Linked DNA regions of Danio rerio. The protein of the gene in region 2 purifies or fractionates together with the protein of the main gene of each other region. This does not show direct contact. Links are inferred from orthologs where the notes say so. Each region holds a gene or a part of one and is shown on either strand. Other genes may lie near its edges.

Region 1 (3,674 bases), on a different chromosome or scaffold from region 2:
GCTAAAGTTAGATTTAAGGACTGATTTAAAAGAGATTTAATGCATATTTGAGTTTGTTTTTTGTTCTGTTCATCTTCATTGTTTGAACACCTGGTTGGAAGGGAGAACAAGGTAGATGAGGACATTTTTTATACATATTGCTAAAATTTGATGCATTTGTTGGCTTGCTAATAATTTAAATTGCTATTTTATCGTAAAATTAGTCATATATTTGCAGATACTTTATAATATTGTCACTAAGTTTATTGTTTTGTCTTATTATGTGAATTTTTATTCATTATATCTTTTCTATTTGTGTTTATTCATCTGTTCTTAGCTCTTACGGTGTTGTACAGTCTTTAAGGACGGCAAATGCAACAATAAAGGCACAAAGGAGGACAGTGCAACATCAGTGCATGAGTTTAATCCTTTTATTTCTCCAACCGGGCTGTTACAATCACTTTAGACATTACGCAAGATAATCATTCAAACTGCTCTAAAGTGACGTTTGTAAACTGCCAAAGGTTTCTGCTGTTCTGACGTCAGCTGCAGATGTGAATGGCGGAAGAAAGTAGTTCCTTGTACAAAAGAGTTTTTGAGAGTCCCCGTGTTTGAATACACACAATTTAGCTGTCGAACTGTTGTATAAATGCAATATCACACTCAGAGCTTATTTATACACAAAATTTTGCTGTTGAACTGTTGTATAAACGCAATATCACACACGTAGCTTATTTATACACACAATCATGCTGTCGAACTGTTATATAAATGCACTATCACACTCGTAGCAAGATTACATTGTCAAAAATATCTTGGTTCACATGAAAATTCAAAAACTACAGAATATTCTATATCTGGCCAGTGGCCACATAATACGCTTAAATGGAAACACAATTTAGATGATTTGAGATTGCACATCGGTTCTGTTCTATGATCGGTAGTAATCTCAATGCGATGGCCAGAGGGCACTCTTGCACAGAAATACAGATTAAATTGAAATAAACGCAATATTGTGTGGTATGTCAGCAAACTACAGGTCTGTGTAGTAAATGCTGCTCTATCTAAATGCACCAGCTAATCATGGAACCGGCGTTACTGACAAAATGCAGACAAGTAGGCATGAGACGATAACAGTTTTCTAGGTATACCATGGTTTGGAAAAGTCAAGGTTTTAAAACCAAAATGTTTTACTATACCGTTCTTAAGGCATGTGTATGATATTTTACTTATGTTTTATTTAGTTTTTTTAGAACAACATATTTCCAGCAGAAAAAGAAATACTTTGTAATAGAAAAATAAATTTAGTAAAGAAATGCTATGCTGCTGTAGTGGAAACATAATACATGCAAATGACATCACCGTTTTCATTTAAATGAAGGTCAAAATGTATGGTGAGTAGACCGAAATGAAATCGCAATCAAGCAAAAGCTGCTATTCTCATGCACATCTTGTCAGGGAAGCACAGTTGTGTGATTAGTAGTAAATGTCCTTAAAAGGCCAGAGGGTGCTTCACTTAAAAAAAAAGACTTCAAATACCCATACAGTTGGGCACACAAGATTGAACTGTGTTCATGAATTTTACATGACTAATATAAGCAACTGAGTACTGACTCACCTCTCAGAATGTTTATTAAAGCTCTTGAATTAAGTTATGAAGTGAGTTTGGAGTAAAATGTATGTTATTAAATGTGATATTTTTACATGATTTCAGATGAGGCAGCAGCAGCAACAACACAGAGCCATATTCACAAAGAAGTTATACGCAGTTATTCTACATATTATTGCAGAACTATTCTCTTTTTAATCAATTATTAGATGTTTTAATCACCTGATATTTTGAACGTGATTATGCACAGCTTGTCAGTGAACTAGGCTCTATGACTAGAACCGGCTTTACTTACAAAATGTACATGAAAATCATCTTTAATTAATTGTAGCTAATAAAAGGGTAAACACTGCCTAAGTAACGTATCGTACTTTCTATTTCCATGATTACAAACTAAAAGTGTCACACAGAATAACATTTGGCCAATGACATCATATAACAGGTCATGTGATCATAACATTGCACCACCCACTCTATAAATTAGAATTCTAAAAAGGCTCTATTAAACAATCTTCCAAACCTTAAATTTTTAAATATTTACCACACAGCATTCCATAAACTAATCCAAACTTAGAACATCAACTGGCCACCTTTTGATTTTAGCAACTGTACACTTCTCAAATGTCATGAATAGGCTTCTATACTGCATAACAATACAACAGCAATCAGACACTGTGCTCTCTAAATAATAGCATCATCATATACATGTTAAACAAAACCAGTCTGAACTGTTTTGCTGGTCTCCCAGCCTAATCAGCTTGGTTTGGTCGCTGGTCTTAAATGGGCTTCATGCACTTGCTACTGTAGCATCAAAACAACTGCTTTGCTTCTAAATAGTCCAACTTAAACCAGCAAACTGTTAATAAACACATTTCAAAACAGTATTTTCTTTTCTTAGAACGACTATGTTGCAAATAGAGAGTTTGATGCTAAAAGTTGACAGTTTTCCTCCTCATTGACTCAACATAAACCACAAAATGAACATAGCGCTTTAAACACTCACATATCTCCGCAGCTTCTTCTCGGGCGGCGACTTTCTCAACCATCCCTGACAGATGATTTCTCCTCCGCTCATTTTACAGAAAGCAAAAAACACAATCAACAGCAGCAGATCAGTCTGAAGTCCTCAGATGCTGCGGGTCCATGTATGTTGAGCGCGCGCGGGGCAGTGCCGTGGATGCGGAGCTTCATTTACTGGTGATGGGACGCGTCCTGTGCGCGCTGCGGGACTCTGTGTAAACACTGCGGGCACGAACGCTCGAGTTGCTGAAGATGTAGGAAGTGTTGGTTGTCTGCTGTTTGTTTTCCCACTCACTCGCACATACACCACGCCCACTGTGTTCAAGGGACGGGACTCTTTCTCTTTGCTGTAGGGATGAACGGAGACAATGAAGCGCAAGTGTGGAGTTCGCCACACCGGCTGTTTTATGTGTAGTTGGTGTCTTTATTACATTACACCCTCTTTTGGTGGGTTTGTGTAAAGTTTGTAAGGGTGTCTGAGACGTTCAAATGTACTTTCGTGGACGGAATAACTCGGTGTTGTCAAATGAGCCGCAACAGAGCGCACTGAACGTGTTCTCGGGATTAGAAACAGCCGTCGGTAACTTCGCCCAATCTGTTGATTAGTTTGAGAAACACGTCACCTTGTGGACTGGTGTATGTAATGCACAATTTTGCTCTCAGTGCTGGTTGATTATTTACAAATAGTAGTTTTCATTACAAAAAAATATTATGTAAAATAGGCCTAATAATGTAACACACAGGCTAATTAGGGGAAAGCGGGTACGAAAGTAAAATTTTTCATAAAAAATCTAATTTTAAAACTGTTTTTAGCAGAAATACTAACCCACAAGAGTGTTTTATCAAAACCAAGTGCTATTTTGTATCGGTGTAGAACAACTTTAATATAACTTCACTTTAAACAAAGTTGCATTGTTACTTTTGACCCCATCGGTAAAGTAACAACTATATTTGCTAGATTTACTTAATCTTATTTATTTGAAATATATTTCACTATGACTTTGTTAGTATTCAAAACAACATATTTTGTCCTTTATTTTTGCAAAAAATATTTTTATTTTACATT
Region 2 (2,664 bases):
TGCCAAGAACAAAGAAGGCCGAACAGGCATGATTCCTGTTCCCTATGTAGAAAAGCTTGTGAGATCTTCGCCTCATCCTGGTCAGTCCATCCATGGTTCACGGAATTCCAATAGCTATGGCATCCCTGAGCCATCACACGCCTATGCCCAGCCTCAGACTCCATCTCCCATTCCTCCTGGTACACCCGGCGCTGTCATCAACCCGCTACCTTCTGTGCAGAACGGGCCAGTGTTGGCGAAGGCGATCCAGAAACGAGTGCCATGCGCATATGACAAAACTGCTTTAGCACTGGAGGTAAGTGGCTAAATGATCGCTCCCATAAGCCAGTATTTGCATTTGACACCCACTCAGGTATTTGATTGATGAAAGGCAATATGTGCAACCTTATGTGCATTTAAATACATATCTTCATTTTTTTTCTTCCTAAAAACCAAAGTTTATTCAGTCAGCATAGATTTCTACTGGCTTAAATGTTAGCTAATTTAAATGCTGGATGCAGTGCTGGCTGCCATAGACACTTAGGTTGGTTAGATTGAAATGGTGCAGCGGTTATACATTTAAAGGGATTTTACCTTTTGCTACATTTTGTCAGATGGTGCTGATTGCTTGGTAATGTGAAATGACCAATATTTTCTTTTGATGACACATTTGTCAGCTCAGTTCTATGTTTTGAAGGGACTTTCCTTAGATGTTTGAGCAAAAAATGACTTTGGTTGAATGCTAGAGAATTAAATAGTGATCATTCTTTTGCTGACTTACTGCATTTTCGAATTTGTGTTTTCACTTTGTGCATTACACTGGGGTTTAAGTTACTTTCACTTCTCATAGTTGGAAAATTACTTTGGCTGTGCATCTCTGCAAGAATTGTTTCAGCAAAGACATTAATCACATAGACCACTATTTCTTGGCTTGTTCACGGTCTAAAAAAGAAATTCCATACTTTAGTCATCCCATCTGGCAAGTTCCAGCACCCCTCTATCCGTTCCTACATGCAAAGCCTTGTCCATTTGTAGAAAACATTACATAACCTATGTCTTAGTCAGCCTGAGAAGGTGTCAGTGGATTTAGGTGTAGGTGCAAGAAAATGTTAAGAAACTCAAAGCTTAGGTTTGTCATTAAGCCCCATGTGTTTTTTCATTGGTTTACTGTTTTATATGAGAGCAGCTTGTATATGGAAATAAGGATTATGACGCACAGTTTGTTATGGCCTCAAGCTAAATGGTCTAATTTAGAGCAGCTATTTCAAGCGTTTTGACAAAATGAAGCATGTCAGTTACTGCATGTAATGTCAATTTCTTAATGTGTTCAAAGTTAATGCCTAGATATTTGTAAGAGTAGTATTTCTTTATTAGTATTTTAATAGATATTAACCAGTACTGCTTTATGCATTCAAAGAATTTCCATGTCTTTGAAAATTTTTTTGTTCCTTTGGCTGTAATTTTTGGTGGGCAGGATATAATCTTTTCCTCAGGCTTTTCCTTATTTGTTTTTTATAGGTTAGGGTTTGATGAAATGTCAAAGCTTTCAGCACGCCTTATAAGAAACCAGTATAATGTTTCTTTCATATAAAATGGTGCATGCTGTCCTCTGTTTACTTGATATTCTAAATTAAGACCCCATGATTTTTGCAGTATTGAAAAGATGGATGGCATCAAATAATCCAATAGTAATATTGACTATTTAATGAGGAAGATCATGGAATTTATTGTCATTTGGATTAATAAATCATAGTATCCCTATCAGTGTTAGGGTTAGTGCATTACAAGTAACGTGAGTTCCGCAATAATATTCCTTTTCTAAGTTCAAACTAAGGTAACACATTATAAAAAAAAAAAAAAAAAAAAGCAATAATATTTGTTACTTTTTAGTTTAATTAATTGGCTTATAAAAATAAATTGCTGAATTAAAAATAGTCGCAATGAATCACGCAGTCAATGAGAGAATTTTTATTTTTAAACAAATTGAAGAAAGGGAAAGGCGGATTGGCTTAATGCATAGTGGTTTTACTTAAGACAAATAGTAAAAAAGTAACAAACACATTGCTTTAAACTTTCAATAATCTGTACACGGCATGTATAGCTCTGGGGTTAAGCAGTTCTCACATAAGATTATCCCAAAGTATTATTTTTTTAATGTGTTTTTTAAAGGTAGATGTAGGTGTATGTTTATACAGTTATGAAATGCAGAGCTCCCCCATTAAAGAAAGAAAAACAACAAGTTCTGGAAGAGATCAAGCCTTAGCTAGGTAATATAAAGTAATGCAAAAGTAAGGTAATGCATTATTTGCTTAAAAAAAAAAAAAAAAAAAAGTAACTGAGTAGCGCAACTAGTTAATTTTTGGGGGACTAACTTAATATTGCAATGCATTACTTTGTAAAGTAACTTTACCCAACTCTGATCCCTATACACAGACCTAATTAGAATGTGATGTGGACTAGTAGTGTCTGAGAATATATGGCAGATTCGTTCACTACACACTAAAGCTGTGCGGCACTTGTGGTATTTTCAGAATGTGTAATGAACTTCATCTCCCACGTCACTTTACCAACATTTAGCCATCATGTACATCATTAACCAACTTGAAGAAATTGTCAAAGTAAAATGTACTTCTGAAAGTAATAACTTTTTTTTTTTAACATTTATAAGTTTAGTAAAATTAGAGA
Region 3 (3,762 bases), on a different chromosome or scaffold from region 2:
CATCAACTATTCTTAAATACAATTGGTTTGTAAATAATGCAATACTTCATTAAATATGAAAAATAAATCATTAACAAAGAATGAAAATAATTATTATTAAGCACATTATGAATGTGGTTCTAAGTCAAGAATAGAGCATTTATAGCTGCAGTTATAACCTGCTTACTAACATGTATTAATGTAGAGTAACAGAAAATGAATTCACCATATGTTAATGCTTAATAAATGGTTCATAGTGTGTTGTTATTATTAAGTGTTACCAAAATGTCTTTTTGACTCATTAATGTATTTTAGTGTTAATTATGTGATCTGTGCACCTCCATAAAGTAAAAATTCCATTTTAATCCAAAACCTAAAATCACACGCTTAATGATTGTAGGATAATAATCTAAATCCTTTGCACTGAGTTGAAACTTAGAGCAGTGAGTAGGCACAAAGCTTCAGAGATAACTGAGTGAGGCGTTTAGCATTACAATAACATTCCAAAGATACCAATCCCACAAACGTGAACGTTCTTTACTGAAACTCTTCACTTTTCTATCATTGCCTGCAACCTTGTTCTTTGCTTTTAGATGTTAGTATTATTTTTCTAAAATAATCTTTTTCTGCACTTTAAGCCATACTGTATAAACAAATTCAAGTTTAGTGTAGGCCTATATTTAAATATGTACATCTCCTGGCTATAAATGTAGACTAACGTTAACTGACAACATTGATTTCAAGATATTTGCTTTAAAATGCCATTCGGTTCTTTTGAACAGCTCATTTAAAGATTCGGTTCAAAAACAACATCAGCGAGTCTTTTACGCCATGACGTAATTACGTCATAGTGTATCAAGAGACTTTGATGTTTTTATTTCTTACTTTTTCTCTACGTCTTATAAAGTGTATATCCGCGATGCTGTTTAGTTTTTTTGTGTTTTTATGTGTGAGTGACTGATCTGATTGCTTGTTTGTTAATTCAGGCATTTCTTGCCTAAATGTGATTTTCCTTCACGTTATAAATATATTAGCTACATACAGTAGTTTTACCCTTTTTACCATTTATATTTGTAATATCCTCAGTGAAGAAGCTCATCAATCAAGGATGATCAAAGCCGGCTCGGTTCAGAGACTTTTTTAACCATACTGAAGTGATAAATAGATGTATTGAGTGAAATCGGAATTATATATAATTATAGTCTAATCCATTTTTTTCTTTATTTTTTATCAGTGCGCGTTAATTGTTAAAAGATTATACACAAAATAACACTGCTACTTTGTTTTTCACAGTTTTAATCCAAATGTAAGTAAGATTTATTTGGGACGTAAGAGGTTTATTTACACCTATTCTTTGTAATGCGAGTCACCGTCCCAGTGTTTTCCCTCTGACGGGGCAACACTCCAAGACTACATTTCCCATGATGTAATGTTCTTTATTCTGTGTCTTGACCGACTTCTCCCTGCCTCCATAGGCCAGAGGAGGCTGAGTTTAGGGAAAGTATCGACGTTTATGCTTGTCAATCAGCAAGGAGCCGTGGGGAGTGAAACTGGAGGGAAGGTCGACGATCGGGGAAGATTTCCACTTCCAAAGGCACTTCTGTGCTAATGCGACCATAATGTTTTGGAAAAACAAGGAAAAACTGTACATATTTTCAAGGAAACTGTTTTGTTTTACTTTGAAATAAGGTAATCAAGCAGAGCTTTCACTACGCCGAACTTGGCGAGTATCAGTCGCTGCCTCGTTGCATATCAGCTCGGAAAAAAACGAAAACAGCGTTTTATTTACACGGACAGAGTGTGTAAACTAAAAGGGGACTCAACTACAGACGGATACATGTGTGTTTAAACAAACTGTGCTTGATATATTCCCTTCGGCAGAGGATAGGACTTCATCCAGAAGAGTTTGCGAGAGCCGCGTCGCTGTCGGGAAGCTCTTCCCGTGTGAACGTGCTGGAAACCAGGAGTGACGGTATTCATGTTGTTTCAAACACATGTGCTTAAAACACTTCAAAGCGCAACTTCCAACTCATGTTTAGAAATATGTTTTGATATGTTACAGGCTGAAACACGAAACTTAAAACCCGTGTTTTCCTCAAAGCCTTTAAGAAAATGAGCGGAGGAGATGTGGTTTACTCGGGGTGGCTCCGAAAGTCTCCACCTGAAAAAAAGTTACGGCGTTATGTAAGTAACGTTTTAGTTTTATTCAAATGCACCGACAGTGCAGTAACCGCAGGACTGTTGGGGCAAGATTCATGCAAATTTTCAGTACGCTTTCCAACAGCAACCGCAGGTCAATCACTGCTCGCGATCTGTCGGTTAAAGCTTTATCTTTCTAAAATGCGGACGATCCAAGAATAGTTTCAAAACGGGTTTAGTTCCTCATAAAAATGCGACTGAGTGTGTGTGTGGACGCTGTTTATGTGTTTATTGCACTGGGGTTGTTTTTGTGAAAGCTTTGCTTGTGCAAATCTTTATTTGTGGCGTCTTGATCGGTTCTGTAGACACACCTACCGGTATGGGAACTTTTTGATCAATTAAAGAAGCAGTTCCTTTATTTTTGTTGTTAAGATTTAAACATAAACAAAGAGCACTTTTAAGAAATATCACGAAACATTGGAACTCTGGTGCTATTTTTTTAGATAAGGTTATTTTTTATACACGACGTGGGTCGCCCCTCATGGGTGGCGCCATGTTGGTATCACATGACATAGTTGATCCAGGTACAAATAATAACAAAAGCAGAAATATTTGTTTATATAGTCCTTTAGCTAGTGCCCAGGCCATAACCATTAAGCTACATATACATATTTAAAGCGCAAACGGAACACATGGCTACTTGACAAAGTTTGAATAAATAAATATGCAGCTGCTGCAGATAGACAACTTGTGGTATTCTAGTTAGTACTGGAAAACTAGCTTCCAGTAAATGCACCCATAAGTGGATAAAATCAATACATGGATTTGTGTAGCATGGTAAGCAGAAAAAAAGAAAGACATAACCCAAATCAAACTTCACGCATCCATGCCAAGAGGAGTCAGTACAAGTCCAAGGCCTTTGCTACACCTGTAATCACAAAGAGCCAGCTGTGAAAACCAGTGTGATGCTTATTGTTTGATTTGAATATTGCCATGCATCAAGGTTGCAGAATACAATGCCGGTAAACAGATATATCAAAATAATTTTCAATGTATTCATTAGATTGAGTTGTAATGTTCAGCTCTTTAAATATCAGATCACTACTTGCCCCAATGATGATTGGTTACTTGCTCCCCTATCTTGTGTATTTTTTTTTGTTTTGCAATCATTCTGGTCTGTTGTGAAATTTTCAACATTTTGTTTTTAGACATTTTATTTTTCACCAAATCACACGAAATGCCTTTGTTTGCTGCAACTTTAGTTGCCAAGACAACTGAACACTTAACTCTCCATTCTATCTGCACTGGATGAGTCAATGCATTTAGTCATTCGCACATTGTATGTGTACCATGGGGTCTTCCCTTCCTCTTAGTGGTAATATACACCAATAATCTGTAATGAAATCACTTACTTACAGCTCTGCCTGCTATCGAGCTCCAACCAAACATGTTAGAAATCTCCTCCAGGCTCATGTGATGTTTTTTATTTATTATTGGATTCCTTTAATCTAGTGGAGCTCTTCTTGGAATATTGCTATTGAATTCATGTTTTATCTCATTGTGCAATCAGCAACACGTTTTAGACTCAAACAGCCAAGTATTTTACAAGATTAGAGTATTTGGCTTTTTCAGCCTTTGTGATTT

What was found. Proteins that work in one complex are often made in the same cells at the same time.
Region 1: the proteins of crkl (region 2) and gab2 purify together in Homo sapiens (affinity purification with western blotting; 3 studies listed by BioGRID). This does not show direct contact. The link is inferred for Danio rerio from reciprocal best matches to the Homo sapiens genes CRKL and GAB2.
Region 3: the proteins of crkl (region 2) and gab1 purify together in Homo sapiens (affinity purification with western blotting; 3 studies listed by BioGRID and IntAct, with this or other methods). This does not show direct contact. The link is inferred for Danio rerio from reciprocal best matches to the Homo sapiens genes CRKL and GAB1.

The regions. Positions count from the first base shown.
Region 1 is NC_133190.1:10,782,309-10,785,982, forward strand, and holds the start of gab2 (GRB2-associated-binding protein 2), read right to left. Parts: upstream 2,833-3,674; 5' UTR 2,664-2,832; coding exon 2,592-2,663; intron 392-2,591; exon of another isoform or gene 1-391. UniProt on the Homo sapiens protein: Adapter protein which acts downstream of several membrane receptors including cytokine, antigen, hormone, cell matrix and growth factor receptors to regulate multiple signaling pathways.
Region 2 is NC_133196.1:20,320,235-20,322,898, forward strand, and holds part of crkl (crk-like protein), read left to right. Parts: coding exon 1-295; intron 296-2,664. UniProt on the Homo sapiens protein: May mediate the transduction of intracellular signals.
Region 3 is NC_133176.1:38,639,411-38,643,172, forward strand, and holds the start of gab1 (GRB2-associated-binding protein 1), read left to right. Parts: upstream 1-1,457; 5' UTR 1,458-1,951; intron 1,952-2,041; 5' UTR 2,042-2,091; coding exon 2,092-2,163; intron 2,164-3,762. UniProt on the Homo sapiens protein: Adapter protein that plays a role in intracellular signaling cascades triggered by activated receptor-type kinases. Plays a role in FGFR1 signaling. Probably involved in signaling by the epidermal growth factor receptor (EGFR) and the insulin receptor (INSR).